Linked DNA regions of Ovis aries. The protein of the gene in region 1 binds, or shares a complex with, the protein of each later gene. Links are inferred from orthologs where the notes say so. Each region holds a gene or a part of one and is shown on either strand. Other genes may lie near its edges. The genes, in order: ASF1A, TLK2 and CDAN1.

Evidence for each region.
Region 2: the proteins of ASF1A (region 1) and TLK2 are in contact, whole or in part, in a crystal structure (PDB 7LO0), measured with the Homo sapiens proteins. The link is inferred for Ovis aries from reciprocal best matches to the Homo sapiens genes ASF1A and TLK2. Residues at the interface, in NP_054753.1 of Homo sapiens: Val45, Ala48, Glu49, Glu51, Asp54, Asp88, Val92, Thr93, Val94, Leu96, Arg108, Gly110, Tyr111, Tyr112, Arg145, Thr147, Phe149; in NP_001271262.1 of Homo sapiens: Arg11, Arg12, Gln13, Leu15, Leu16, Glu17, Arg19, Phe20, Thr21, Gly22, Val23.
Region 3: the proteins of ASF1A (region 1) and CDAN1 are in contact, whole or in part, in a cryo-EM structure (PDB 9CVC), measured with the Homo sapiens proteins. The link is inferred for Ovis aries from reciprocal best matches to the Homo sapiens genes ASF1A and CDAN1. Residues at the interface, in NP_054753.1 of Homo sapiens: Gln5, Val6, Asn7, Asn8, Val9, Val10, Val11, Leu12, Asp13, Pro15, Asn20, Pro21, Phe28, Asp37, Val45, Ser47, Ala48, Glu49, Ser50, Glu51, Glu52, Asp54, Asp58, Ser59, Val60, Leu61, Val62, Gly63, Pro64, Val65; in NP_612486.2 of Homo sapiens: Arg195, Arg196, Ile197, Asn198, Thr200, Val202, Lys390, Leu391, His470, Glu471, Glu472, Pro473, Gly474, Trp475, Asp476, Lys538, Arg541, Arg544, Leu545, Gln546, Arg548, Leu549, Met550, Ala551, Pro552, Gln553, Ser554, Ser555, Arg806, Lys807.

Annotation. Positions count from the first base shown.
Region 1 is NC_056061.1:19,401,181-19,411,021, forward strand, and holds the start of ASF1A (histone chaperone ASF1A), read right to left. Parts: upstream 6,360-9,841; 5' UTR 6,130-6,359; coding exon 6,021-6,129; intron 4,863-6,020; exon of another isoform or gene 1-4,862. UniProt on the Homo sapiens protein: Histone chaperone that facilitates histone deposition and histone exchange and removal during nucleosome assembly and disassembly.
Region 2 is NC_056064.1:46,640,830-46,650,799, forward strand, and holds the start of TLK2 (serine/threonine-protein kinase tousled-like 2), read left to right. Parts: upstream 1-3,575; 5' UTR 3,576-3,686; coding exon 3,687-3,822; intron 3,823-5,319; exon of another isoform or gene 5,320-5,322; coding exon 5,323-5,408; intron 5,409-9,970. UniProt on the Homo sapiens protein: Serine/threonine-protein kinase involved in the process of chromatin assembly and probably also DNA replication, transcription, repair, and chromosome segregation. Phosphorylates the chromatin assembly factors ASF1A and ASF1B.
Region 3 is NC_056060.1:36,249,049-36,258,411, forward strand, and holds the start of CDAN1 (codanin-1), read right to left. Parts: upstream 8,720-9,363; 5' UTR 8,694-8,719; coding exon 8,604-8,693; intron 8,370-8,603; coding exon 7,882-8,369; intron 7,669-7,881; coding exon 7,465-7,668; intron 7,269-7,464; coding exon 7,099-7,268; intron 6,983-7,098; coding exon 6,869-6,982; intron 6,787-6,868; coding exon 6,708-6,786; intron 6,291-6,707; coding exon 6,170-6,290; intron 5,992-6,169; coding exon 5,882-5,991; intron 5,419-5,881; coding exon 5,329-5,418; intron 4,410-5,328; coding exon 4,334-4,409; intron 3,868-4,333; coding exon 3,662-3,867; intron 3,357-3,661; coding exon 3,236-3,356; intron 3,109-3,235; coding exon 2,962-3,108; intron 2,864-2,961; coding exon 2,697-2,863; intron 2,304-2,696; coding exon 2,216-2,303; intron 1,971-2,215; coding exon 1,881-1,970; intron 1,693-1,880; coding exon 1,638-1,692; intron 1,427-1,637; coding exon 1,293-1,426; intron 1,210-1,292; coding exon 1,106-1,209; intron 846-1,105; and 6 more. UniProt on the Homo sapiens protein: May act as a negative regulator of ASF1 in chromatin assembly.

The DNA.
Region 1 (9,841 bases):
ACTGGCAGAGCAAGGGGGTCTGAGAAATCCTTCAGTAAAGAACACCAGTATTGTTAATCCAGTGTTTCCTACATTTATTTGGCTAAGGAATCCCTCTCCCTTTTCTGTATGTCATCATTCAACAACCTGACTTCCCTGGTGGCTCAGACGGTAAAGCATCTGTCTACAATGTGGGAGACCTGGGTTCGATCCCTGGGTCGGGAAGTTCCCTGGAGAAGGAAATGGCAACCCACTCCAGTACTCTTGCCTAGAAAATCCCATGGACGGAGGAGCCTGGTGTCCATGGGGTCGCAAAGAGTCGGTACACGACTGAGCAACTTCACTTCACTTCAAACCCACTTTGGAAGGGCTAACCCATATTATGCATAGATCCAGATCAAAGAGCTCCAAAGTGGAAAAATCACTATTTGCAAACTTCTCCTGTGGCTCAGAAGCCCCTTAGGGCTTCAACTCAACTGCTAAGGTTCACAGTGGGGTTTCTCCCTCATGGCACCCCTTCCTGTCATCCATTCTTTACATTGGGAAGAGGAAACAAAGGTTCCTTATACCACTTGATATGTCAAAGTATATACTGTGGGAACAGGCATGAGGAACAAGAAAGAAAGAAACACAACCCAAGGCACTCCATGTAATTCAGTTGTTGTATGTAATTCAGTCTTTCCTGAGCACCCTTTACAGTGTGCTCTGTGAGAAGAACCTAGAGATGAGCACAATGACTGCTCTTTGCAAGAGGCCTCCTCATTAGTAGGGGGAGGAACACCATTCTACAAATACAAATTATCTGAGACCTCCTGGTCCTCTTAGGTTGTTTAGCACTGTGTGGCCTGACTCCTGGATCCACTCCACAAAGTCTACGCCAGACTCAGGGATGGGGGGCGGTGATGCTTCTGGGTCACCTGTGGAGAATCTAATGCCATCATGTGTTGTCATTCTTGTATAACTTTGAAGCTCGTTTTGTTCCTTCAACAGGTAACAGGAATAGGCGAGGCACTGCTCATTCATAGTGATTATAAACTGCAGTTCAGTGAAGTAAGAGATCCTTGAGGTTTCTTCTTCCTCTTACTGTGTCATGCTTCTGTCCCAGACCTTGGCCACTTTATCTTCAGTTCCTAGTACATTTCTAGATGCAGGGTCCCACATCTGACATCTCGTGAGATTATCTATTTGCTGATGAAGATTAAGAGAGGGAACAAGCAGTATGAGTATCTAGTCAGAAGGGACAGCAAGTACTAAGACCAGATGGGCAGGCACATGCTTGAGAAAAAGCAAAGCCACTGGGGCAACAGCAGAATGAGCAAAAGAGAAAGCAGCTGACTGGGAGATTTGGAGGGGAGAGGTGTAGCCAGAGGATGCAGGGCTTGGAAGTCACCGTGAGGATTTGTGGCTTTATCATGAAGAGGCATGCGAAGCCACTGGAATGCTGAGTAGAGGAGCAACATGGCCTGATTTTCATTTTGTGTGTGAGCGTTAGTCGCTCAGTCATGTCTTAACTTTTTGTGACCCCCATGGACTGTAGCCCACCAGGCTCCTCTGTCCATGGGATTTTCCAGGCAAGAATATTGGAGTGGGTGACTTTCATTTTAGGAGGATCATTTTAGTTGCTGTGTTTAGTATAGACTGTAAGATGGCAAAGGAAGAAACAGGAGGATAGTTCAGTTGAGGCAGGAAATTATGGTGTCTTGGACCACATGTAGCCATAGAGGGGAGAAGTAGTAACACTGTGGATATATCCTGAAGGTCGAGCCAGCAAGAGCCACTTATTTTTCTGGGGGCAGGGAAGGGAAACCATCAGGAGTTCCAGGGATGAAGAAGGTAATGAATAAGTGGAGATCATAAGTCTGGTAAAAATTTAGAAACTGTCCATATGTGAAACCTTGAAAATAGGTGGGATTCCAAGCGAGTGAGCCCAGGGAGCTCTCCAAAGTTAAGAAGTCAGGGAGATAGGATCAATTAAAGTTACCCAATTAGTGGCCAGTGAAGCAGGTAACCCAAAAGTCAAGTGGAGAAATGGTTTTAAGGAGAAAGGGGTATGGAAACTACTCAACTAGCCAAGTAAAGAGAAGCCTGGGATTTGTCACACAGAGGTTTCCATAATTGTTTGTTCATTTCATAAGTATCTGTACTACTATGGATTGTGATCTTGCCTTAATTGGTATAAGCTGGCATTTGTGGTCTGGTGCAGGAATGTGGTTATAACTTATAAACATCCCTTTATAAAATACCTGGGCATTGGTCTTGCCACCTCACACCTGTTATTCAAAACCTCAACAGCTTCGTAGGTATCACATGGGATTAATTATACATGTTACACAAGTAAAGCTGAGACTCTCGATAGGTTAAGTAATATGCCCAAATTCACACAGCTAGTAAATGGAAGAATCAAAATCCAAGCTATGTCTCTGTGACTCCAAAGCCTGGGCTCTTTCCAAAAATCTGAGATAAATTCTTTCCTTTTTAGCTCTCAAATCAACAGTGAAATAAAGGAATTTAACTGCGGGAGGTGGGAAGGCATGGCTGAGGGCAGAGGCCGAGGGGTAGATAATCTAGCCTTAAGGAGTATAGGCTGTAACTCAGGGTACCTTAATTTTTATGCTATGGATGCTTGCTATAGCTACTGAGTTTAAAACACTCAATACTTATTTATAAATCAGCATCAGTTGTTTTGTTCTTAATCTTTTTTTGAACCCAGCTTCATTTCCTTGCCCCCTGTATTTGAAACAAGAAGGGACAGGATGGAATGCTTTACACAGGTGATAGTTTGGAGTAGTTTACTCACTTATTTAAAAAGTTAACTGTTTCATTTAATCATGGTAACTTCAGTCTGCAGGTGTCTCCATTTGAGGTGGGAGTGAGGGAAGTCACCAAGTAAATTTCAAGCTAATTACACTATTTGGGAAGACCTGTGATCTAGGGGAAAGTATGTAGTATTTGTGAATTAGTACAAACCTGAGGTTTTAAAGTATGAAGCTTCATTCAGTTATGTTTTAAGTATGTATTCAACTGACAGCTCTAAGTATTGATCAACATTTTTTAAAAAGGCTCCATTCAGTAAAGAAGCAGAGAAATCAGCAGTCCACAGAAGGTATAACAAAGTCAGCAGTAAAGTCAATGAAAATGTGTACAGGCTTGGTGACCATCAGACCAAACACACCCAAGGTCTCCTATCTCCTGGACTTAACAGGAGAGCCTCTCCTTACATCTGTGGATTGCTGTCCTACCCCTGTATAGGTCTTACAGTAGATTTCAACTAAATTCTCTTAAGTACTCAGACTTTTTCTGAAACAAAGCTACAGGGCAGCTTTTAAAGGAAAGTCAAAATATGTGAGGGCTATTGACAATTTAAAGTATGAAAAATGATGGCCAAGCTCTGGAACTTGAAACAAAATTATACAGTGAAAATTTCTCATTGGACTATTCTATATTTCACTTCCAAGAACAAATATTTTAAAGAACTGTAGCAATGGCACCCCACTCCAGTACTCCTGCCTGGAAAATCCCATGGATGGAAGAGCCTGGTTGGCTGCAGTCCACGGGGTCACTAAGAGTTAGACATGACTGAGTGACTTCACTTTCACTTTTCACTTTCATGCACTGGAGAAGGAAATGGCAACCCACTCCAGTGTTCTTGCCTGGAGAATCCCAGGGACGGGGGAGCCTGGTGGGCTGCCGTCTATGGGGTCACACAGAGTTGGACACGACTGAAGTGACTTAGTAGCAGCAGCATAAAAGATGGGACTATAAGAAGTCTTTACTAAGTAAACTCTATTTCCTTAATCCACACAGCCTCTAGGTGGAGTACATAAGCATGGCACCTTTTTGAAAGATTCCTTTGCAGCTTCAGTATGACTCAGCTTAAACTCCTAAAAAGTACTAAATAAATGCCCAGTATAAGTACCTGGGAAGTGAGGTAGACAAGTCAAAGTAAGGTGTATTCCTGACATCAGTACTGTAAAAATTGATAGGATTCAGCTTGGTTCTGAAAAGATCCCATTACAAACAGAACACATCAATGGCAGGTTTCAGCCATCCATTGTCAAAGCCCTGTAACAACATCCTGAATCATCTAACTTCCTTGTTGAGAACTCGCTCCTAAAATGGAAGATATCACTTGAGAAATACCAGTAATTTCAAGAAGTTCTAATGCCTAAAACACTGTAGTATAAATTGGAAGGGACTCATTTATTGTATTTCTCTTGCATTTGTCCATTTTTATATGCAGTTGATAGTAAAACCAAAAAAATGTCTAGTGGGCATGAAAATGGGCCTAGTGGCTGAAATGCTTATGGCAGTACTTTAGTAACCAAATAGTTTCAAAGTTCGGTAATAAGGAAAACCCCCTTTAATTTTTATTAGCAACAGCCCATTTAAGAATTAGTTTAATAAATGAATTGTCTTTCAAAATGTGCCTACTTTCGTATGTGCATATGTGCTTTATATTTGTAGTAAAACTACAGTGTATGGAACAGCACATACTAAAGTGGTAATTATGGTTACTTTTGAGTGACATGTTGGCGGAAGGTATTGAGTACAGAGGAGTGTTACTTTATATATGTATGAACAACTTTTAAAAAGTTTATTACAATGAGCATATGTTGGTTTTTGTAATTGAAATAGTTTACACACTACCTAAAATACATTATACAGGGATTAAAGGATAATTTTTAAAGTGAAAATGCTTTACATGCCTTGATTAGCATATAATTTAAGATGAATTTTGCTAAACATAATTGTAAGTTCAAAAAAAGCCTGTCCCCTATTTAGCTGTAAAATTACCATCGATGAAGTTAAACTTTTTTTTCCCCTTGAAATTTTGAAAATGGAGCACTGGATGGTTTTAATAAAATCGGAAAGACCTTGGCAAATTTTAGCTTTCTGAATTTCTTACCGCACATGCTATATGTCTTTCTGAGGACCTTAAAACGTACTTAGAAAAAAAAAATTAAATTTTGCATTGCCATCAGGACTTTATTTCCTAGCCCACTTTTGTGTTTTATGTTCAGGGTATTTGGATGTGGACTTGCTGTAATTAGATTTCAACACGTTCTTGAAGGAAGTCTTTCAGACTACTTAGAAGCCAGTGATCAAGTCCTGGAAATTATTTAAATATTTTACTTATTTCTGCTCTCAGGTTAAATGTAACTTGCTAGCTTAGCAATATGTTTCTTCCTGAGAGAGAGAAGATTAGATTTCAGTCACCAAGGATGAGGAGCCCACGTTGCTCGGGGCGAGCCTGCGCGCCAGCATCCCCGGGCGCCCCGAGCATCCTGGGTGCCGGCTGGGGAGCGCCGGCCCGGGAGCACCCGCGGCCCCCGGAGAGCGCCGGCCCGTGGCGCCGAGGGGCCGAGCCTGCGCCCGCCTCCCCCACTGGTTGGTCCACGGAACCAGAAATCAGCGCGAGGACAGCCTCGCTCCCCTCCCCGAAGCGGCCGGGCATGGCCACCCCGGAGAGTCCGGTAACTCCAGCGTGAGCGCTAAAAATGGACGTGCCTCTTGCTCGGGGGCAGGAAGGTGGGCAGGCGGGGCGCCGCGCTCGTCACCCGCGGAGAGGAGGCGTCGTGACGCCGGGGTCGGTGGCCCAATTCTCTACTCTCGGTAAGATGGCTCCGCTGCGAACTCGCCGGCGCCGACCACACACATGCCTCTGCCTTCCCACCTCCTCGCCGGGGCCGCGGAGGCCGTTGGGTGCCCGGGGCCAGCCCGGCGCGACCCCCGGCCGGCGCCGCGGGCGCGAGTGCGGGTCTCGCGAAGCGCCCGCCCGCCAGACAAAGCTGACAACATGGCTACCTCCGCTCGAACAAGTTCCTCGCAAGTTGAGCCGCGGCAGGCGCCCCGGCGGCGGCCGAACGCCGCGCGCGCCTGGCCGGCCGTCGTCCATCAACTTCAAGTTTCCCTCCGCAAAGCCGAGCCCGCAGCCCGCTCGGCGCCGAGCCCCGGCCGCCCGCGTGAGGCCGGGCCCGGGAAACTTTCAACGTCTGCAGCCCGCAACTGACAGCCCGGCGGCGGGCGGGCGCCCGACTCACCTTCAGACAGGTCCTCGATGCACTCGAAGGTGATCTCGAACTGGAATGGGTTGTAGAAGGGAGAAGGGTTATCCAGCACCACTACATTGTTCACCTGAACCTTTGCCATATTTTGAAAAAAACACAAACAATGGGGACGGGGGGCTCGTTGCGGCACAATAAAGTCCAGCGCGCGGCCGCTCGGGAGAGCGCAGACCCCCGCCCCGGCGCCGGCCCGACGTCGTGCAGCGGCGACTTGAGAAACTTTTTTTTCCTCTTTTTATTTACACGGGAACACTCCACAGTGTTTTGCAGCTTTCCTATTTCACTAAACTACAGCCCATTCTGCTCTGATAACTAGCAGCGTTGCCCGCGATTGGCTGCACCCGAGCTCTGACCCTCCTCCTCCAGCGAGGGCCTCCGCGGCGAGCAAGATGGGCTCCCGCTCCCGGAATGGACTCGGAAACTTTAACTGCGGCTCCACCTGCTGGTGTGGATTAGGACAAAGGCGGAGAACAAAGTGAGTGGAATACGGGCTGGGAGGCCCGCGCGGAGGCCGCCGGCGGCAGCGGCGGCGGCGGCGGCGGGGGGAGGGGCGGCGCAGGCCCCGCCCCCGGCCCGGCGGCTCCCGCGCCTCACGTCGGGCGTGGCCGCAGCGGGGCGGGGTCGAGGGAGGCGTGGCCACGGCGAGGCGGCAGGAGGCGTGGCCACGGCGGGAAGGCGTGCTCGCCGTGGGCACGGCGACGGGAGGGCGCGATCCTGGCGACACCCGCCTCTGGGGTTTGTGTAACGGGTTTGTTCTGTGTCTCCCCCACTCCCCCTTCTGACTCTTCACATTAGTCCGACGGCTGTGTCGGCTCTCTACTGAATTTAGGAGATGCGAATCCGTTGTCTACACTAGGTTAGGTTCAGTTGTCTGTGTACTGGGTAATATTTGGGTTAGAGGGAAGGTTGGTTGCAGGGGAAGTAAATTGCATTTTATAGACTGATGTCAGCTCAAAAGGAGCAAAGCCATTTTGGAAATCTAGTTCTTGGCCAATCTCTACGTTTGGGCACGACAGCGCCGTTAGTTAAGTAGATACAAAATGAAGGGCGAGGAAACGCTTTTCCACCCACACTTTGTGGAATAGGTAGTATTTGGGCTGCACCAGGGTCGTCTTTCTCCCGTTCCAGTCTGGAAAGTCTAGAATAAAAAGATGACTTGAGGTTGGATCACTTATACCCGGTTTCTCCTGTTCGGAGGACACAGCAGGAACATAAAAAGGAGAAAATGCAAGTATCAGAAGACCGTAAAGACAACAGATACAAGCAGAAAAGGCAAAAGGCGAGTAGAGACCACGAAAGCATACCAAGACGTGCAATTTTCCAAAAAGTCATGACCTAAACCGTTAGTAAGTAAAAATGTATGGCACCACGAGCAAGTTCAGAGGAATCTTTACTTGATTATTCGACATTCAGCGTCAGTTTGTTCTTGACTACCTTTGTAGGAAAGGGAGAGCTTGTAATACATTTTGTGTAAGGTTGTTGAGCTGTTTCTATTTTCTAAATAAGAGCAATATAAAGGGATTTTTTTCCCTGCTGCATAAACCATCATTTTTCAGGTATTTTGAATGAAACCACTTGGTTAATTAAATTCAGAGAAAGTTATTTAAGTGTCATCTATGCTGAAAGTTTTCTCTTAGTATGGTGCTGAGAATTTTTCAGTTAACATTCTTTGGACACTGTTCATTGCAGGTTGCTTTTAATGAGACTTCTGCATCTGATGGTCTTTTGAAAGTTAATAAGAGACAGCTAGGGAGGCCTGGCATGCTGCAGTCCATGAAGTCACAAAGAGTCACACAACTTAGCCATAGAACAACAGCAATGGGACAGTTAATCCCAGGCCTCCCACATTTAGGGAAACTACTCAGGGTGAGGATCCCATTGTATCATGGATGGATTAGCAAATACCACGATCTACTGGAAGGGGTTTCCTCAAGCCCAGGTATTTGTACAAATTAGAGTTTAACAGTCATACTGTGGGGACAGGTGCAAATTACGTTGGCTGATAAACTGTATTCTCTGTTCATTGTTATTAGTGCTGGGCCTAAGGCTGCCTCAGATGAAGTGTAAGTTGTAAGACACACAGAACATAGGCGATAGCCATTTGAAGCATAAAACAAGGTTCTCTTGAGACTGGGATATATGCAGTTTCCTCATTATTGCAGGCATCGTTATGAGGAGATTGAAATCCATTTGCTTTATAAAAATGACTTTAAAAGCTTGGTAAAAATCAAGTGCGCTTTTAATCTGCTCGTGTTCTAAGTCGCTTTAGTCATGTCTGACTCTTTGCGACCCTGTGGATTGTAGCCTGCCAGGCTCCTCTGTCCACTGCTCATAGGTGATGTCATTGTGAAGTGTGTAAGATTTGTTCTCAGCATCAAGACTGAGATTTACCTGGATAGTACTACTGGGTTGGCCGAGAAGTTTGTTGGAGTTTTTCCGTAAGGTGTTACGGAAAAATCCAAAAACTTTTTGGCCAACCCAATATTTCTGGCTTATTTTCTTTAAACTCTTCATTTATCATGTCATATATAAGAGTATTTAAGGGGCGGGGGAAGCCCGCCCTAATAGCTCATTGGAAGCCTCAAGAATTGGCTCCAGGCCTTTACTGTTGCCTTTCTTATCTTAACTCTTACTGTTACTGCTCCTCAAAAGTATTAAAGAGCCTTTGGGTACTCGCTCCAGTAGTTTCCTCATCAATGATAATACCTTCCAGGAAGACCACAGGGATTTCCAGATGTGCCCTTGTGTACTTCTGATTAAATGGCATGCCTTAAGGGGGAAAGACTGTAAAAGCATTATTCTGGTTTCAGAGACAGTCTGTAAGATTTGTTGCTGAACAACTTTTTGGTGACTCTCAAACAGTTAACCACATTGCTGCAGATGGGTTGCCATGAATGCTGTCGTATGTGAAGTACCCAGGGGGACCCACATGACACTTAGAGGGCTACATGGAATGTAATCCTCAAATCACTTCTCTCTTTATAGCCTGCTTGGGGGAAGGGTGGCTGAAAAAGGTTGCTTTGGCTCTAAAACGAACAAAGACTAAGTTAATGCCTAGGACAGAGATAAATGAACCTAGTTAGCTATTGTCATGGGCTGAATTATGCTGTTCTCCTTGACCCCAAATTCATATGTATGCCCTCAGTATCTCAGACTGACTGTAGTTGCTGGCAGGGCCTTAAAAGAGGTGTTTAAGTTAAAGTGAGTCCCTTGGAGTGGGCCCTAATCCATTCTAACTAGCTTCTTTATATGAGGAGGAAGTTTGGACATAAAAAGAGACGCCAAGGGCACTCATGCACAGAAGAAAGACCGCTTGAGGACTCAAGAAAGTGGCCATTTGTAGGTCAAATGAAACCAACCTTGCTGACATCTGATCTTTTACTTTTAACCTTCAGAACAGAACTGTGAAAAAACAGGTTTCTATTATTTAAGCCACCCAGTCTGGCAGCCCTAACAATCTATGTATGTAATCCGCTTGTTGTTCATTTATCAAGGGCGTTCTATGGAGTGAAACGATGTGGTCATATAGGTTGTAGGTTGTAGGGTGGGGTTGTGTGCTGCAGACATTTCTCAGAGGAAGTATCTGCTACTGTGCATACTCACCTTGAATTCTGAACAGACTAGATGCAGCTTGCTTCTGAGTTCCAAAGCTCATCTACAGAGGGCTTTTCAGAATCTTAAAGTTGAGGTTAAATTGAGGTCACACACAAAGCTAGATGAAAGAGTGAGTTAAATGTACTAGAATTAAACTGAATTAAAATTGTTGTTCAGTCACCCAGTCGTGTCCAACTCTTGAG
Region 2 (9,970 bases), on another chromosome or scaffold:
TCAAATTAGAAACCAGTGGATACCCCAGTCCCTCTCCTGGAGATGGTCTTGTGTGTATCATACACTTTAGGTTCTAAGAAGTGCTGAAATAAAGGATTCCACTTAACTTTAACCTAGAGTCCTGAGGACCAATGTACATCCACTCCCTTTAAAGCATTTAACCTGTTGAAACCTGCAGAACACAGCTTAGGGAACGCCAGCTCCCTTGTCCCTTCTGTGTCTATGAACATGGACCTGGAGGACTTGTTATATGCTACCCTGAAGGCAGGATCAATGGGAACATCTAGATGAATCCCTGTTTGAGCCTTCTGATAGCAATTGGGCTTTTGCATGGGGACACCATTTGCCAGCCTTTGAGAAGCTGAGTTTCATAAAGTTGCTCTGTGAGCCAACACACTTTAAACAAGTGGGTTCATGAACTCAAGGTTAAATTATATCGTGAGAACCATTGGACAACAACAAAATCATCCATCTATTATTTCTTTTTTCTGATTGTTAGTATTTGATATTTTCACTTATATGCTTATGTGTGTTAGTTGTTCAGTTGTGTCCAACTCTTTGTGACCCCAGGGACTGTAGCCCGCCAGGCTCCTCTGTCCATGGAATTTTCCAGGCAAGGATACTGGAGTGGGTTGCATTTCCTTCTTTGGGGGATCTTCCCGACCCAGGGATCGAACCCGGGTCTCCTGCATTGCAGGCAGATGTTTTACCATCTGAGCTACTAGGGAAGCCTAGTAGTTTATATGCTTATAAACAGAAGCATATAAGAGGGTATCAGAGGATGAGATGGCTGGATGGCATCACTGATGCAATGGACATGAATGTGGGCAAACTTAATGGAGATGGTGAGTGACAGAGAGGTTTGGCATGCTATAGTCCACGGGGTCGCAAAGAGTTGGACAGGACTGGGTGACTGAACAACAAACAGAAGTACACCATTTTTGTGGTAAGCAAATTCATGAAATTCCTATGAGCAATTCCTCTCGGGATGAGTGTTAGATATGGGGTGGGCTATGAACAGACCTATGATAGTGTCAGTGTTCTGACATGCAGGGAAAAACACACTAGGCAAAGTGAAACAAAATCTTGTCTTTTCCTGAATTTCAATGACTAGTTTCAGTTTTATTTTTTTCATAGTTACCTCAAAAAATGGAATCATAGCCCTTTAGACCTGGAAAGGACTCTGGGAATCCTCTGGCCCAAACTCCTTCATAGATGAGGTTGGCGACACTTGAAAGGTTAGGTAACGGGCCCAAGCAGTTTGTCTGTGGAGGAGCTGGCCAGAGCTCAGCTCCAGCTCTGTCCAGTGTTCTTTCTCTTAAACTCTTCTCTTCTGAGATGTTCCAGTGTCATTTTAAGCACTTACTTTTTCGATCATTCACTGTAAGGACAGAACTTGTCTCAGGTGGTTTTCTCTTTTGAGTTGTAGAGGAACATACTCTTGGCTCTCCTGCCCCCTTGATAGTCCTTACCTTGCCCTTTTTCCTACCCTCTGCCTGGAACTTGCTCTCCCCCTCCCTTTCAAACACTGTTATCTATCGAAATATGTGTGCAAGGCCCAACCTGGCTGGGATTTGAAACAAGGTGACTCTTGGCTGAATGGATTTTTTTCTACAGTGCTTGAATGTGCCCAAGGATTTGGAAGGCTGAACAACTAACAATAAGTAAACTGCCATCCTTTACCCTTTCAGCAGGTCTGTGTTCCATGAATACAGGAAGAATTAAGAGTAAGGAAGCAAGAAAGGCAGAAACATCATCTGAAATACTTGCCTACCCCCTGGAAAAGTTCAAGGCTCTTGCTCATTTTATGAATTTTCCCCAAGCCACTCGTTGTCATACATCTTCATACATCTGATCAAGGAAGCATCAGAGGAAAATAAAAAGTTGGGTATCTGCGTAGAAGTCAGCGTCCTGGCTCAGATGTCGGTGGAGAATGTGATTTTTCCTCTGGTGCTGGGCGATCAGAATGGGAGCCTTCTGTGCAGGAAGCCGCCTAGCTGAAAGAGCTATTGCATCCTGGTCTATTTCCCATTCCTCGGTAGAGAGGGGCAGGCCTGTTTTCCCCATTCTAGCACTTATTCTTAGAGCCCCCTAAGTACCCAGGAGAGCCTTGTTTTTAATCAAAGGTTGAAATGGAACCTCCCCCAGGGCGCACCGATAGAGTCCCTTTGGGGCAGCGCCCCCCCACCTCCCGCCTTCCGAAGGGCAACACTGTGGTGGGGGTGGGGGCTCAGCCTTGATCCCAGAGCACCACTTGACCCTAAAGACGCCCTGCCAACCAGGTACGTGGAGGTGAACCTCTGTCCGCTTTCCACGGCGCAAACGTGGATTTGGGGAGCGGGACGGTGAGTTTGGAGCGTGGCGGGGCGTGGGAGCTAGCCAACACGGGGGGACACAGCCAACTCACTAACTGGGAGTCTCCGGGGAAGTTCGGGCGGGGTTCGTCGGCTCACGGCTTTCTTCCTCTAAAATCCATCCTGGGCAGAGCAACCTCACTTCTCACCCAAACTCGTGGAGATCAGGGATTAGGCGGGCGCAGGGTTCGGCGAGGCGGATCCGGGAAGCGCCCGGCCCAGGCAGCGAGGCCCCTCCACCGTTGGTCCGCGACCCAGGGCGCCGGCCCAACCGCTCGGCTGGGGCCGGTCCCGCGGGGCGGGGGCCGATTTTACGAAGACGGCTGCGGGGTCTCCGGGACTCCGGCCCAGCCGGGTCAGACCTCCCCTCGCGTCGCTGTGCGTCCGTCGGCGCCGCCCGTCAGCCCGCCCTCAGCCGCCCGGCGAGGCGGCGGCCTCCTTCGCCTGCGCGGGGTCCCCTGGTTAACCCCTGCCCGGCAGGCCGGCCGCTGATTGGAGGAGGCGGGGCGCCGGGGCAGCGGGGACCCCCCCACCTTCCTCGTCCCCTCCCCCTCCTCCCCCACTGTCGGCACTTCCCCCACCCCCCCAGGACCCCCCCTGCCTCCCAACCGTGCAAATCTCGCGAGGAAACACGCGGTTTCACTAGTGTGTTTACACCGATCACTACTAATCCGGACCGAACCGATCCGGATTAAGGGGCCGGAGGCGGGTCCTGGGCTCCAGCGGTTCCGACCCCCCCGCCTTCCGCGCCGCACCCGAGTGGCCCCTAGCCGAGCGGGCCCCCACCTCCCGGCCGGGCCTGGGCCCTTCTGCGCCTCCCTTGGCCTTTGTCCGGCGCCAGGAGACCGGTCCCGCGCCCCCCGCGGCCGCCCGGGCCCGGGCCCGCGTCAGGCGCCTGGCTCTGTACGCGAGCCCGGGGATCTGCGGCCTCCGAGGCCCCCCTCCCCCGCCCGCCCTCTCGTGGAGCCCAGCGCCGGCGGCGGCTGCCCGGGCGGGGGGTTGCGGCGCTCAGGAGAGGCCCCGGCTCCGCCCCGGGCCTGCCCAGGGGGAGAGCAGAGCGGTCCGCAGCCGGGTCGGGTCGGGGCCCCTCCCGGGAGGAGCGTGGAGCGGCGGCGGCGGCAGCGGCGGCGGCAGCGGCGGCGGCAGGTGAGAGGCTGAGCCCCGGGCGGGGGAGGGCGCCGGGCCTGAGGTATTAACCGTCCGGGCGACCCTCTCGGCTGAGGAGGCTGCGGCCCGGGCCCACCCGGGGGCCGGCGCCGGGCCGCAGCTCCCCGGCGCTGAAGCGGGAGGGGCTTCCCGAGGGCTGCGGGTCGCCGAGGGGCCGGGTCGAAGATGGGAGAGGCCCAGGCGGCCCCGGCCTGGGAGTGGGGCTTGCGGCCGGCGGGGAGATGGGGGCACCCGGGCAGCTGGAGGCCCCGGCAGCCTCCCGGGCGCCCCCGAGAGCTGGCCCGCCCTCCCTCCGTGACAGGTGGGCCTGGAGTTGGGGAAAGTTTGGAGCCGGCGGGAGACGAGGGGCGCCGGGACCAGGCCCCATCGGTCCTGCTTTCCGGCTGTGGGCTACAGGGAGGATCCCAGTCCAAGGCCCCGCTGGAATGAGACTGAGTGGATCTTTCCTTAACATGAGTTGACATTAAATGGAATAACCGCTGGGGCGTCATTTTCCGGGCCAGGCCTGGGGATGGAGGTTTAGGAAACGTGCCGAGAGACCCTGGGGCTTGAAGAGAGGCTGCAACTTCTGCCATTCCGGCCTCGATTAGGGCAGGGCGAGACTCGACGAAGGCCACTTAGGGAAACACTGTCTCAGTCTCTTTTTTTTTTCTTTTTCTCTTTTCTTTTCTGAGATACCTTTCTGCCCTTCTGAGAATTTCCTAATTCCCTCTCTAACCTGCACTTGTCTGTGTGGGTGAAACTTTAATTTGCCACCCTTTCATTCCTCTTTGCCCCAGGCTCTCAATCCAGGAAGGGAAATGAAACTGGAGGCTTTGTAGGGGTTGTTACTGAAAATTGTGGAGTTGTTAGATTGCAGAGGGGCATGTTTAATTCATGTTTTCAGTGAACTTTTAAATCATGCCAATCATTCCAGTAGCTATTTAGTAATATGTTCAAAGGGGTTGTAGGTAATGGTATATGTACCTTTTCTACTTTTAATATTTGGGCGGTTTCCAATGCGTTCTGCAAGAGATGATTTCTTGCAAACGATGGAGGTGTTTGCTGAGAGTAGCCTGTGCATTAATTGGTCGTGGAAGGAGTTTAAAAATGGTGTCCTCTTGCCCCTCCCTGCTTGGAAGGAGTGCTAAAAGCAGATGTCTAGAGCAACCTACTGCTCCAGGGAGTGGCAGAGAAAGATTTTGTAAAGGGGTGGTTATGGAGCCATACTAATTTCCTGAGTGGATGCAGGTTGATGGTTTTACCATGGGTTCTCTATTAAAATGAAGTAATTAATTCCTTTTTTCATGCTCCTCAGAGAAAGGAGGCGTAATACAATAGCGTTATTTTAAGTTATTAGTAGCTTCTGATTCATGCTGTATTATTTTGAAGTTATTATTAATGATTCATATTTTTAGTTTAAGAACTAGTTCCTGTGTGTTTGGGAAGGAAATATCCTTAAGTACTTACCTAAATTCAAAGGTTGATAGAAGAAATTTTCTTTTTTTGTAAGCTGGGCTTTGCTCAGCTTTTACAGAGATTATATGAAAGTTTTGAGGGTTTTTTTTGCTGTTAAAGTCAAATCAGAACTAGTTAAGAATAAGTGACCCTCAGAAGAAGACTTTTGAGCCACTTTGTAACTTTAAGTGTATTACTATTTGATATAGTGCCTTGTGGTTTATTACTTGTATGCTATATTTATTTGAGGTTTACCTGTATATGAATATTCTGCAAAATAGTTACTGTGCATTTTGTTGTATCCAAGAACTGGTTCTTCATGTTTTAGCTTTTCGGGTCTCACAACCTACTTTTTCTTTTTCAGTAGAAATGATGGAAGAATTGCATAGCTTGGACCCCCGACGGCAGGAATTATTAGAGGCCAGGTTTACTGGAGTTGGTGTTAGTAAGGTGAGTAAAATGATGATAATGAACACTGCTCATAGCCAACTTGAAACACACTTAAAAACAAAGAGCAAACTGGATGGATCATGCAGATGCATCGAAGGGGAGGAGATCTGGCTCACAGTTCCAGTGAACTTTTAAATCCTATCAGTTGTTCCACTCAAATATTTAACAGTAGTCTTGAAGGTACTCTGTATGGAAATATTAACTTCTTTTTACCCTCTAATGTGGAAGAGATTTCCCGTGGGTCTATTGCAAGGATACTAACAGGATGTGTCTCGATTCTATGCCACATTTTGTCAAAACTCCTCAGTCACTCAGACAAAAACTGCTAATGAATAAGTATTGGCATAGCTTCTTTACGCTGGGCTTTTTGTATGGTTACGTGTAGAGTTTTGAAAAACATGCCCCTGCTCTGTCACCTCCCCAGATCTGCAGTTCAGCAGATTCCTCATGATTGTACCCCAGACTCCTTTTCCTTTCCTCCTGTTTTCCCTTCTTGTTCACTGCTTTTGTTCCAGGAGCATAAGATCAGGCCCCGTTCACGGGCAGTGTTACGGCTTCCTGTGCATCTTTACAAAACTGCTGCCTCACCCCGCTGCTCTGATAGGAGGGCTTTAGAACAAAGTATAAAACCTATTTATGATTTTAGTACAATATGTAAGATATATTTGTGATGTTTTATTTAAAATCTTCACCAATCCAAGATGTTGTTTACTTGGACCTGAGACTAGAGAATTTTTGATCTTTGACTCCTTCCTGTACTTTCCAAGAAATATTATTTCTCATGGCACCTTGGATCTTAGTCTCATGCTTAGTTTCATGTTCTTAGAGGAAAAGGTGTTTGTCAGAGTTCAGTTAGAAAAACTGCTTTGATGAATGTCATAATTTTGGTGGGCTGGAATAACTTGATAGTCTTTGTTCATTCAATAGATATTGAATACCTGCTGCGTACTAGGCATTGTGCAGGATGTTAGGGATGACACCTCAGTACAGTACTTCCAAGCCCTTACTGTTGAGGGGAGCGTGGTATAGAGTATAACTGGGATGGGAGCTGTATTAGACCTGTGGTGAGCTCTAGTAGGAACACAGGATTTGTTACACATTTTGTAATTCTTGGTTTCTTCGCCTCTTTAATTAAGTAACTGACTTTGGTGGCACTTTAGAGCAGCTGTGCTCCTGACTGTTGTTATATGTTAGTTACATGTCTGAATTCTACATGTCTAAATTCTCTGATCTAGGTGAAGTAGCTTCAACTGTACTTGAGTAGTATATTTGAGTGTTAAAGTGATCTCTGATTCAGTTGATTGCCTAATAATGACTTTTGCTGGTAATTCAGTAAAAGTCTTGTATCCAAATCTGTCTATTCAAATGCTCACCCACTGTGTAAGAGTAAGTTTGTATTTAAATTGTATACGGTTTAAACTAATTGAGCTTTGTTAGAATGCTTTTCTTTCCTTCTGGTTTTAGGTTCCTGGTAGCTGTATCCAAGTATACTTTCCATGGGGTAGAGCATAAGTTATGGGAATGAGTAACATTGTGAATTCTGCTGCCCAGGCCCAGCTAAAATCATGTAACTGAGGTGCAAAAAACTTAATCTGTTTAATAGGAGTTCTGCTTTAATATATAGAAAGAAGTTCATTTTTATCGAGATGTTTTTGTATCATTAATTGTGTTATTTTGAAGTTTCCAGTCACGATAAGTATATTGATTACAATAAATCTGTTATTCTTGGACCACTAGGAGTGTTTTTACCCATAGCAAAGAAACTTGGCAGGGGCGTGGCTGGAAAGCAAGTAATTATCCTGTAGTTTTGTGTAGTTAGGAAAAGAAAAGAGAAAATCTCCATTTTGTAGGACTTCTTATGCATGCAAGCCATTGTTTCTCTCAGACTGCTTATTTGAAATAGGATCGAGGAGGGGGCCATGGTACTGGGAAAAAAGGTGCTTTTGGATAGACGCTTCCTTCAAGCCTGAAACTCCTCATTATGGGTCATCATTTCTCAGTGAGGATGTCGCTGTGTTGATGACAGCTTTCAGTTTTGCAGAGATCATGAGTGCTTTCAGCCCTTGGAAGTGGGAGAGCAGAGTGGCTTTCCTGTGACAGTGCCATCTAGTGGGGCTGGTGCAGCCGCATGGCTGTCTCTTGAGTTTCTCCTAACTATTCATAACATTTTCAGTACTGTTTGATGTCCATAGAAGGAAGAAAGTTGGTGCCACTGTGGATTCTTTCCTAGTGGACAGGATGTTTTAAGTAGCTGCAGTCTTTGAACTTCCTGGTGACTGTCCATCTTCTGTCATGTTGCCTTGAGTGTTTTGCACCTGCAAATCAGATACACAAAACTTAGGCGAAAGAAAATGGCCATGCCGCCACGTTTATTGCTTGCAGTATTTAAGTTACTCTTTGCTTATATTTAGGTTGTTTGCAAATTAAAATTTTTCTTTCACATTGCATTTATGCACATTAATTTTATATTTAATGTTTAATGTATAATAACTAGTAAAACAGAAGCATTTGTTATGTATTTTGGGATGTGCCATGTGGTTTTGTTTAAGAGACTGATGTTTTCTATCATCAGTGAGTGGGTAATAGAGGGAAGGAACCTGACATGCATTGTGAAGCTATAACTGACTTTCCTCCTCTACTCTAGCTGCCACTTTTTAGGACTACCTGTAGCCATTCTCAGCATTTCTGAGATGATAGGTTAATTGAGTTATGAACCTGCTTCTTCATGTCTTATTGACTTGGCGTGTGAACGCTGCTTCTTTTTTTTTTAAGATCTCTTCCTTAAAGTACTAGATAATCCACTTCCAGTAATGTGAAACTGACTACCTTGTATTCGTATGTTTTCAGTGAGAACTTAGCACAGTTTATATTCCCTACTCTCTCCCCTTTTGACTACTTAAATACAGATAGTCTCATCTCTGTGATTCTGGAGACTCTAAAGTAGGTGGAATTCTGCCCTTGCATGTACTGTTTATCTGTACCTAGTTGACTTTTAATGCTAATAGAGTAACAAATACTTCCATAGTATTTTCTGTGTGCCAGATACTGTCCCAAGTACAAAGAAAGCAATAAGTGAATTTAGATCTTTCATAATAGGGATACTAGTCTTAATAAACATTCCTTCCCTTTTTATGAGACGTGCTAACTGATGCCCAGTGCATTGCCCCCACCAGTTGGTTAAATTGACTCACCAAGGACCACTTTATGACAACTTGCACTTGTGTTATAATTATATGGCTCAATACAAAATTGTGATAACAGTTGACATAAAATGAAAGAATTGTTGATTCTGTGAAAACTAAGTTATCTGCCTTGGAAAGACTGAATATAAAATGAAGCAATAAGGAGATAACTATAAAAACTTATTAAAAGAATTTTTTTTAACCTGGAAGAATTCTTCATTTAGATACTTGGCAAGTATCTTAAAAGTTCTTGCTTCACTTTTAAAGAAATCGAAACTGGAAATAGTAGATGAAGCATTATGGGTGTGGTTTGTGTAAGACAGTGTGAAGCTACAGTCAGTAGGTCTGTAACTAAACAGGCCTGTATCAAAATATTGGCAACAGAATAAGCGTTTCTGTACTTTAAGTTCAAAGAAAACGTTTGTATTTTTTTTTAAGATTCCTCACTATAACTTACTTTTTTGATTAATGTCCTTGGTTTCAGTTGTATTGAATAAAAAGTGTGTTGATTGTGTTGAAAAGAAGAGCGAAATGAGAACCATGAAAACTGGGACTCCCTCTTTTGGCACAATAAGAAACTCATTTCCTATCTTTTATAAATTTGTGAGTGTGATGTGAGTCAGATGATCACATCTGACTTCTGAAAAGATCTTGAACCAGCTGATACCTTTCTCCTGTCAGGTAGTAAATTGTATCAATTAGAAGGTGTCAGTTATGGATACCTAGCTATAGTAGCTATTTCACATGCCAGTGCAAGAAATTTTAAAAAATACGTTTAGGTGTTTATATTTAGTACATAGTTAGATGGTCAGTAAGCATAAATGCTGAAAAATAGTCTACCTTTATACCAGTTTTAAGAGTAACTATTCTTAAATTTATTATTATGTTTGCCTTTATGTTCTCTTCTTTTCATTTACAAATCTTCCTCGATTTATGTCCTGATAAACCCATTGTAAGTTGAAACTATCAGAAGTTGAAAATACATTCAACATACCTAACCTATCATAGTTTAGCCTAGCTTACCTTAAACATGCTCAGAATGCTTACGTTAACCTATGGTTGGGCAAACTCATCTGATACAGAGCCTGTTTTATGATAAAGTGTTGAATATCTCATGTCATTTATTGAATTTCGTTCTGAGAGTGAAAAGCAGGATGATTGGGTACGGAGTGATGGAAAGTGTATTGGTCTCTTACCCTCCTGATGGCGTGGCTGACTGGCAGCTGTGCTGCCCTTGCCACTGGGCAGCGTGAGGGAGGTTGTGTCACATGTGACTAGCCCAGGAAAAGATCAACATTCAAGACTGGAAGTGTAGTTCCCACTGCATGTGAATCATTTTTGCACCATCATAAAGTTCGATCTTTGGGTCGGGAAGATTCC
Region 3 (9,363 bases), on another chromosome or scaffold:
GTCAGTTACTCCCCTTCCCTGGACCTTACCTGTGATGTTGGCTGACAACCATGCACAGGCTTTCTCTGTTGCGAGGCTCACAGCAATGTTCTCTGCACTGCTTAGAACCTGTGACACAGAAGTAGTTTTGAGTCAGGGGCAAGTTAGGACAGTGGTGAATGCCCAAGTCCAAGACTGGCCCGCCCACCACCTCATGTGCATGTTGACACACACAGCCCCACAGCACTGCTCTCCCACCAGCCCAGCCCACCACCCCAGGACTACTTCCTACGTACGGCTGCCGGAGTCTCCTCAGGAAGCAGTGCCCTCACGGCACCTGGGCTCTTCTTTTGGCAGAACCTGAAAGGAGACAGAGGTCAGTGATGTCTTGAGACATCAGCTGGGTCCCTGAGTGCACCAACTCCCTGAGCTGGGAGAGCTCTGCCACAGGGGAGGGCATGCTCAGCTCTCTGGCCCAGATGCCAGGAGATTGGACACCCAACCACATGCCTTTCCAATTCGACTCTAAACTTGGGTCCTTAAACCTCTAAAAACCAAGATAAGAGCCTACAGAGCAGGCAAAAATAGAATGACAAAAGCAGGGTGGGAGAAGACATGGAATAAACAATATAAGAAAAAAAAGGACAGGAAAGGAAAGGCTAAGAGCAGAGTGGAGATGAGAGGATCCCAACAGACTGGCATCTTACTCCCGCCCCTGGGTCAGCGCCTGGGCCCCGTGAGGGCACAGCTGGGAACACAAGATCTCCAACAGCTGGGCTGGATCGCCTCCTTCCTGTCCCTGGGTCACCAGCTGCTCTTGAAGAAGCGACTCTGCCTGGCGCACCAGCTCTGCCACCAGCGTGGCCCTGCAGCAGGAACAGCAAGATTTTGAGGTAGTTGGAAAGGCTGAATTGGAAAGGGGCTGCAAATTCAAGCAAACCAGGTCAGAACTAACTTGAAAGAATGTTAGCCATTTCAGCCTTCCCCATCCCACTGGGCCCCTGTCCCCACCCCTCAGCTGACTTTCCTCAGTTTGGCAACAAGGTGTTAAAAGGGGGAAAAGGATAAGGAAATGAGCCTGGGACCTGCAACACCTTCATTCCCAACCCCCTCAATTCAGACTCACTTGATATGCTTGACACAGTTAGAACCAATTCTCTCTGCCACGAACTCCACAGTCCTGCGCAGGGAGGGCGGCTGGTTGTGGAAAAAGGCTTGGGCCAGCTGTGCCTGTGGGGAGGAGGGAGCAGTGCAGGCAAGGGCTCCCTTTCCCTTACCCATGAGGTGGCCCTTGCTTCCACCCTGCCCCTTACCTGCAGCCCCTGTGTGGTCTGGGGAGGCTGGGCTCCCAGGCCCGTGGTGGTGGTGGGGGTGATTTTCCTGACGAGGCCCCCACTCCTTCCACTGCTGCCTGACACCCATGAAGCGAGCAGTTTGCGGAGCTCTCCTGCATCAGAGAAGCCCATGTGCTTAGTTCCAGAACTGTCCCACCCTCCCAAGCATCCAGACTAAGCATTTGTGGAATAGACAGAACGAGGCATCAGGGAGCGCCTAAGCACAAAACAAAGTACGAGGGTGCTGGGCCCATGGGATGCATTTTGGGTACTCATGAAGGGGCAGGCCAAGGACCAAGGACCCTTGGGGAAGAGTATCCTCACCAATATAAGGGCAGCAAGTGTAGAGCAGCTGCTGGTCCACCACAGGCATGCTGTCCTGCGGGAGACAACAGGTCAGTTTGCGGAAGGGAAGCTTCCCTTCCTCCCAGAAATGGGGCGGTCGGGTTAGAGAATTACGTGAGACTTCAGCCTCTATTCTGGCTTGTGTTTCTGGGCCCGCTGACAGGCAGGCTACCTCCTTTACTCTTGTGGTTCCCATGGCTCTGGCTGGACCCCAATACTTACCAAGCCATGCTCTGAGGCTACTGTGTCCACCTCAAAGACATCCAACTGACCCTCTTCCAGAAAGAATAGGTCCTCAGGGACTGTGGGAATCTGGCAAAAGATTAGGGGAGTGCCAGCCAGCACTTTAGGGATTCATCACACCTCCAACTTCATGGTTCCAGGGTTTAGACAACCAGGTTCAAAGCCACCTTCCTCTATGGCAACCCCATCTTTCCTCCTCTGAGCCTTTAGCGTCTGGTCCCGCTCTCTGTCAGAGTCCTACACTTTCCCTTTGCCCATTTCCAGCCACAGAAGTCATACCGCCTTTCCCCAACCTGGACCCTCATTCCACCAACCTGGAAAAGCCAGCCTAGGACAGCAAGCAGCAACAGCTTGTTCAGGAAACACATCTCCCCTTCACTTTCCTTTGATAAGACCAAGCTCCTAAAAGGTAAATGAGGGTGTGAGTGGAATCTGTGCAATGAGAGAAATGGAATGGAGTTAAAAAAAAAAAAAAAGCTATCACTGGGAAGGTGATTCTCAAAAGGAGACCTAAAAGGGACTGCTGTTGTGTAGGCAGCCATGTCTCATCACCTCTCCCAGACCTGTACTCACTCTTAGCTCGGCCACAGTAGGAACAGAAAAGGGCCAATCAAAGTGCAAATAACTGCCCACTGTCTGTCCTTGTGGATCAAGGCCTGGCCTTTCCCCTGAGGGTCAGCTATAGCTATGGAAGCACACAGGAAGCACAAGCTGCTTGGCCCTCTTCAAAAAGCAGCAGTCTCAACAACATTCTCCCTGCACCCTTTTCTCAAGCCTTGCCCTCTCTTGACTCACCGATGCAGGTGCAGCAGGAGAGTGAAGATGCTGCGGTAATAGTCCAGCATGGGGACAATGTGGTCAGCAAGAGAAAGGAACTCCACCAGCCAGGGCACTGTGAGCACTGCTCGGCGTGCCCGCAGCCCCTGCTGCAGCAGAGCTCGCACGTCCAGGACTGGGGGCACCTGGGAGGGCCAGGGTCAGTCAGGGGCTGGGGAAAGCCTTCTAACGCCATTGCCATGCGGCTCCTCCCAGCTCCCTCCTTACCAGCGCCCCCATTCACCTGGCTCCTCAGGGACAGAATGGAGTCCTGGAGCTCACGGGTCGGGGGTGGTTCAGGCCCACGGTATGGCAGGAAAGCGACAAAGCCCAAGAATTTGGCCAGAAGCCTTAGGCTGAGCAGCACCACAGCAAACTGCCTCCGTTCACCCTGCAGGCCATCAAGAAGTAAGAGGTCCTAAGCATTAGGCTTCTAGAACAAAACCACATCTGTTACAGACTTCTTGAAAATATCCTTTCCCCTCTAAAGCAAAGCCTCCTTTCTTCTGCTTTCTAACCTGCCAGTCCACGTCTGACTCCCCATCCTCATCACTAGGCTCAGGCTGAGGAAGGGCGAGGCTGTTGAGTTCTCGGATCTTCAAACTCAGACTATCCATGAGATGCTGATTAAACTGGAAGCTATGAAGGGAAGGGGGAAAAAAGGTACTGGAAGAGGTGCAGGAAGGATAATAGAGGTGGTGTTCCAGACAGAAAGGCTCAGTAGGGCAGACACAGGAGGTCAAGGAACAAGGAGTTTACCTTCATAGGTGAGAGAGTGAGAAGGGAAATGGAAGCAGGAAGTGTGGGTTAGAAGGAGGCTGGGCATCCCCCAGTCCCACCCACTGACATTCCAGGCCAAGAAGAGCAAACTCTTGCCCTTCTGGGAACACAAACCTCTTTTTCAGGCCTCTTCCCCCACTCTCGGCAAGACAGGGGACCTTTACCTGCTGGCACTCAAGATGAAGTCCCTGAAGAAGCCCTGACAGCCTGGGAAGGTAGGGGGTGGGCAGGGGCCCCCACTGCTCTGAGGGGCCACAAGCCGTTCCTGTAGGCGCCGCAACCGCCCCAGCTTGTCAGCTCCAAGCATATTTAACACATCCGGAGCCTCACCCAAGACAGTGCCCCCAGCACCACCAGGACTCTGACACATCTGGGGCAGGGGGAGGAGGAGAGAAATTGATAAACCAGTGAGTTTTTCTGGAAAGAAGGGGTGAAGAAAATGAGGAGGAAGCAGTGAACAATACGGGGTGCCCACCCTATATTGTGTGCCATAGATGTATTTTTTGAGGTCTGTGTTATATTCTTATTTTTACAGGTGAAGAAACTGAAATTTTAAGATTCAACATCTGCATAGGGTCACGAGGATTTGAAACCAGACCTAACCTTGCACTCTTTCTACCACACCACAAAGCAAGGGCAAGAAAGCAGGGAGGGACTGAAGGAGGGCCAGGAGAGCTGGGTGTGTGAGGGGGCCCACAGAGGAAGAGCAGAACTCTTGTTTACTCTTCAGCCAAGGACCTGCCTGTTCTCCTGTCCTGTCCCAAAGTGCCAGCCATTCCTTGGCACCTATAATACATACTGTCCACTGGAGACAGATCTCCTGCTGGAGCAATTACCTGGAGAAGTTGTTTCTGGAAAAGTCGAACAAAATGGCTGTGGCTGCAGGCCGCAGAGAGTTGACCCATCATGGCTCTGAGGAATAAGAGGCAGGGATGGAGTGTTATGGGAGGAAGAGGGGGAGAAAGATCTGAGAGAACAAGCCAATCCTTGAGACTTTCAGCCCTCTACCAGGGGCTTGAGCAGCCTTCTACCAGAGCTGGCTGGCACAAGGATATGGGAAAAGGTAAAGGATACTTTCCTTAGCACCAAGATCCCTCAAGGCTAGAGAGACACTTACTGAAACTGTCAGTCGCTCAGTCATGTCCGACTCTTTGCCACCCCATGAGCTGTAGCCTGCCAGGCTCCTCTGTCCATTGGGATCTCCCAGGCAAGAATACTGGAATGGGTTGCCATTTCCTTCTCCAGGGGATCTTCCTGACCCCGAGACAGAATCTGGGTCTCCTGCATTGCAGGCAGGTTCTTTACCATCTGAGCCCCCAGGGAAGCCCTTAACCTTACACTTAACCAAACATGAAATGAGACCACCCTTCTCCTCTTCAGTCTACACTGACTGCCAGTAAGCTTCATGACCAACGTGGATGGGAGATCACCAGACAAGAGGATATTCTTTCTGTATCCTAGTTATCCAGCTACACAAAGTTATCTTGTATTGTCAGATTAGATGATGGAGAAAATAGAGGTTGGAAAGGGTCTAAGCCAGTGACAGGCAAAAACTCACGCAACCTGGAATAAGAGTGTTCCACTTTATCAATCATTTGCAATCACAGAGCAAGTATAAATGATTTCTGAGTAGAAGGAGTTGGAGAAATAAATCCCTTTTGAGTAGAGGCAGAGGTGGCAGTAACTAAGAGATTAAGGAAGACAGAAAACAGCTTTGTGCTGGAAGGAGTTCGGGGTGGGGAGAGAAGCCTTTCTCTAATCAGTTACCCAAACACCACTAAGTTGCTCACTGCTGGAAGCAGGAAAAAGTGATCAGTGTATGAGCACATACCTGATCCTGCTGCCCAAGCCCTTCTCAAAATCCCAGCCAGGCTCCTCATGGCGATCTTCCCACTCTCGAAGTACCTCGTAAAACACATCCCTGGCAGACACATAAGATGTCTGATCAACTGAAGCACAGTTGGCTTAACTCATTCTCAGGAGTGCCTTCTCTAGCTCAGAACTGTAGACAGGACCATTCACAGCTCCATTGCTTATCCTCTCCAAGGTTCTCTATGTGATAATCCCACAGACCCGACAGTAGTACACCACATGCTTCACTTGCTTCTGTGGGCAGTTAAGGCTAATCTGGCACTCTCATCTGAGAACCCTGTGGCCAAAGTCATTACACTGCGAGAAAGCTGCTACTGTCAGAGGTGCGAGTCCATGGGTGTGAAAGAGAATGAGGCTAAGTGGCCCTTAAGATGTTTGCTAGGAAGGGCCTGGTGGTGCTAAACTACACCCGTTAGTGCCAAACATCTAGTTTCTATGAAAACAACATAGGCTGCCTATCCCGGAGAAAATGCTGCTTCATCCCCTCCCCCAGAGTCCCCTTTTCTTATCACCTCTGTTTTTTGAAAGTATGAAAGGCTCGGTCACTGGAGAAGTTAGCACGATTGTCAGTTTCTGGCTGAAAGGAGACAGCTTGAGCAGAAGGTGGCATCGCCAGAGAGACCTAAAACAGTGACATTAGGGACTGAAAGCAGAGTTCACGCTCAGAAAACTTCATCCCCATATTCTAGTCCAGAGTTTTAGGCCGCATGACACTACAGTGGTGTGAGCTGGGCCGCCTGGATTATGAGACTAGGAAGGGTCAGATCCAGGCTAGAAGATGTCTAAGATGGGGTCACTACCTTGGCGACACTGCCCTCATAGGCAGCTCGGAGGCGACCTTGCAGAGCCGGTGAGAAACACAGTAATCGCTCATTCTCAGCCAACAGCTTCAATGTCCCTTTGTCCAGGTGGGAGAGAACGCTGTACAGGGATAAGAGCACACATGACTGAGAATGGGACAGACTGCAAATAGGCAGCTGGCATCTGCACAGCACAGTGTGTTACCTGGAGCACAGAGCAGGTACATAAAAAAAAGAAAAGTCATGCGCCAAGGATTAAAGACGATAAAGGGAAAGGAAACGAGACCCTATGGAGCAGCTAATGATAGCAAAGCAGAAACAGTAAATAAACCCAAAGGTCAGCTACCAAAACTACTGGGGGCAGTTTGATTCTTTCAAGGGCTAAATTCATAGCTTTGACACGAAACTGAAGGGTTACATGTAGGAAAAGGCCTAGGGTCACTACATCTGTGTCAAGCACAAGCATGCCCCCGAAGTAGCCAGAGAATCAAGTGAATAATGTGAATAAGGTTCAAATGCCTCAGCGGGGGAAACTTACTGAAATTGATGTTCCAAAACCTGCACTGCAAAGAAGACACAATCATGGACACTCTGGAACAGAGGGCTTTCCAGGGAATCTAGAAGGACAGTACCAAGCTGTTGGTTAAAAACAATTTCATTTCCAGACATCATTTCTCAAAAAGAGGCTTGTTCACCAACCTACAGCTCCCGGAGTTGGTTCAAGGTCACTGTCTTTGGCAGCCACCATCCTCCGGGCAGTAAGGAGCTGAAGGACGAAGAAAAGCTCCAAGAAGAGGTTTGGTACCAGGTTCTCTGGTTAAAAAGGAAACTCCAGGGTATTGAACGCCAGTCAAAACAAAGGCTCAGTTCAATTCTTTTACCCTGTAGTTCTACAAGTGTCTTCATTCCAGGGCTCTGTTCTCACTCACCTGCAATGCATGAAGAGTAGACAAGGGCAACCAGCTCCAGACGGTGGCGGGAAGATACTCTGGTAGGGTCAGCGGGTTCAGCTGTGAGGTGTCCTGTCCGGCTGGGGTGAGGAGATCCTGGTTCTAGGGTGGGACAGGCAGGAGTAGGTGACTGCTGCAGCTGCTTAGAGCTACCGGGGAAAGAGAAACGTCATGAGCAGTCAGCATGGCTTCCCCTCCACAGCCACACTCAGGTTCCTTAGAGACCTGTCCACAGCCCAGGAAACAGACCCAGGGTTCCCAGGAGACAAATTAATCACAGGGAAAAGCCCTGCAAATCCCACCCCCCAAAGGAAGCTGACATCCCCAGGAGCAGCAAAGCCATACCGCTCCTTCCTGAGCATCTCCCGCTCCTCTTGCAGACTTCTGCACCCTGAGGGAATCCCATGGCCCCAAGGGCTAGTGTCTAGGACTGAGGGTTGGGAACTGGGAACACAGCTGATTGGGGGTGAGGTGAAGCAAGTCTTGGGCTTGGAAAGTGATCGCTCTTCGCTCACTGGAGTTGGGTTGATCCTGCGGGAAGGCTTGGTCCTGTTGAAAAGCAGCCATAGGTTTTCCTAATTCCCATCTTCAAGCATCTCCCCCTCCACCAAAACATCTAGCACCCCTTGCAAAATGCCCCTCACCACGTAGATATTTCACCCCCTACTTTCTTGTTATTACCACGCTCTACTACAGAGCACCCAGCCTTAATTTTTTAACTCCCCTAGCAGAGCCATATTTTAGATGAGGGCTAATTCTCACCCTGCAGAGCCGGGGGGAACGGAGCCCACGGGAGGGAACTCCTCCAGGTTGCTGAGGTTTGGCGGATCAGAGCGCGCGAGGCTGGGGCTGCTGGGGCTGCCAGAGCTCCTGGGCCTCCGGCCCCCGGCCCAGGGCAGGCACTCCCCGCTGACCCCCTCCTCCAGGCCCCCGGGGCCGCGGCCTCGCTCGCGGGCCGGCCCCGGGCCCCGCCTCCTGCCCCCACGGCGGGCCGAAGGGGCGTCAGCAGCGGTGGCGCTCGAAGCCTCGATCGGAGGGAAGAGCTGGTTGCGCGCTCCGCGGCCGCCCCGCGGCGGGCCCCCGGATCTCCCTGGCAAGCCTGTCGAGGAGCCCGGGGCCTTGGCGGGGGTTGGGGGGCCCTGCGGGAGGACGCGGCTGCTCTGTTCCCTCAGGAAGTTCAGCAGGAATGGCACGAATTCCTTCCGCAGTGGCCGAAGTGAGCTCAGCGCGGCCGCCTCCCTGGGGTCATCCTGAGGGAGAAGCGGCGAGGGGAGAGAGAGTCAGTCAGCTGCCAGCCCGGGGCCGCGAGCAGCCGGGGCCGCAGGGCGTGCTGAGGGTGGCGGGCGGCCGGGGCAGCGGCCCCTAGTTGGAGCGCACTCGGCCCCGGCTGACAGCCAGGCACTCTAGAGGAATGGGACGGGAGGAGCGGTATCTCCCGCGGGAAGCAGCTTCAGGCCAGGCTGGGGGCGTGTCGGCGCTGTTACCTCCGAACTCTGGGCGCTGCGCGCGATCCACCGCACAGCGACTGCGACCGACAGCTCCTCTCGCAGCAGCGACTCCAAAACGGCCGCCATCCCGGTCAGGGCGCTCTGAGGCGACTGCGCAGGCGCCGGCGCGCCACGGGCGCCCTGGGAAGGGCGGGGCCGGCGCCGCCGGGCGACCGTTGGGCCGCGGGGCGGAGGGGGCAGGGCCAGGGGCGGGGCCGGGGCCGCCGCCGCCGCCGGCGGGGCTTCCCCGCACTGAGGCTCGACTTGGGCCTTGGCTCAAGGCCTTGGCTGGGTCCGTGGTTCCTGACAAGAGGCCCGGTGGCCCGCCAAGAGCAGTGTACTGTTGTCGGTGAAGCGAGGCCCCGGCTGCCCTGGCCCGAGGGTGACCTGCCGGGACTCGGGGACGCGGCGGGGAAGACCAAGGGTCCGGGAGAGCGGCCGGACCGTAAAGGTGAACTATTCTTCGGAGAAGATGCCTACGTCTTCTACGATAAGCACATTCTTTTCTTTCAAGTTTTCTAGATTCAATCGTCACTACCCTAAAGAAGTTACGATAAAGTTTGCTAAACTTCATTTTGACCTTGCCTTTCTCAAAAGCCGAGTTTTCAATCCCCTGCCCACTCGTTTTCCAGCAAGATCGATCATTAAGACTTTAAGACGGAGGGGCTTTTTAGGATCCTCCGCCCACAACCCTTAAAAGTGCCCCAGGCCACCCTGCACACAGAATCGCCGTCTTTATTACCCCTTATACGTTACA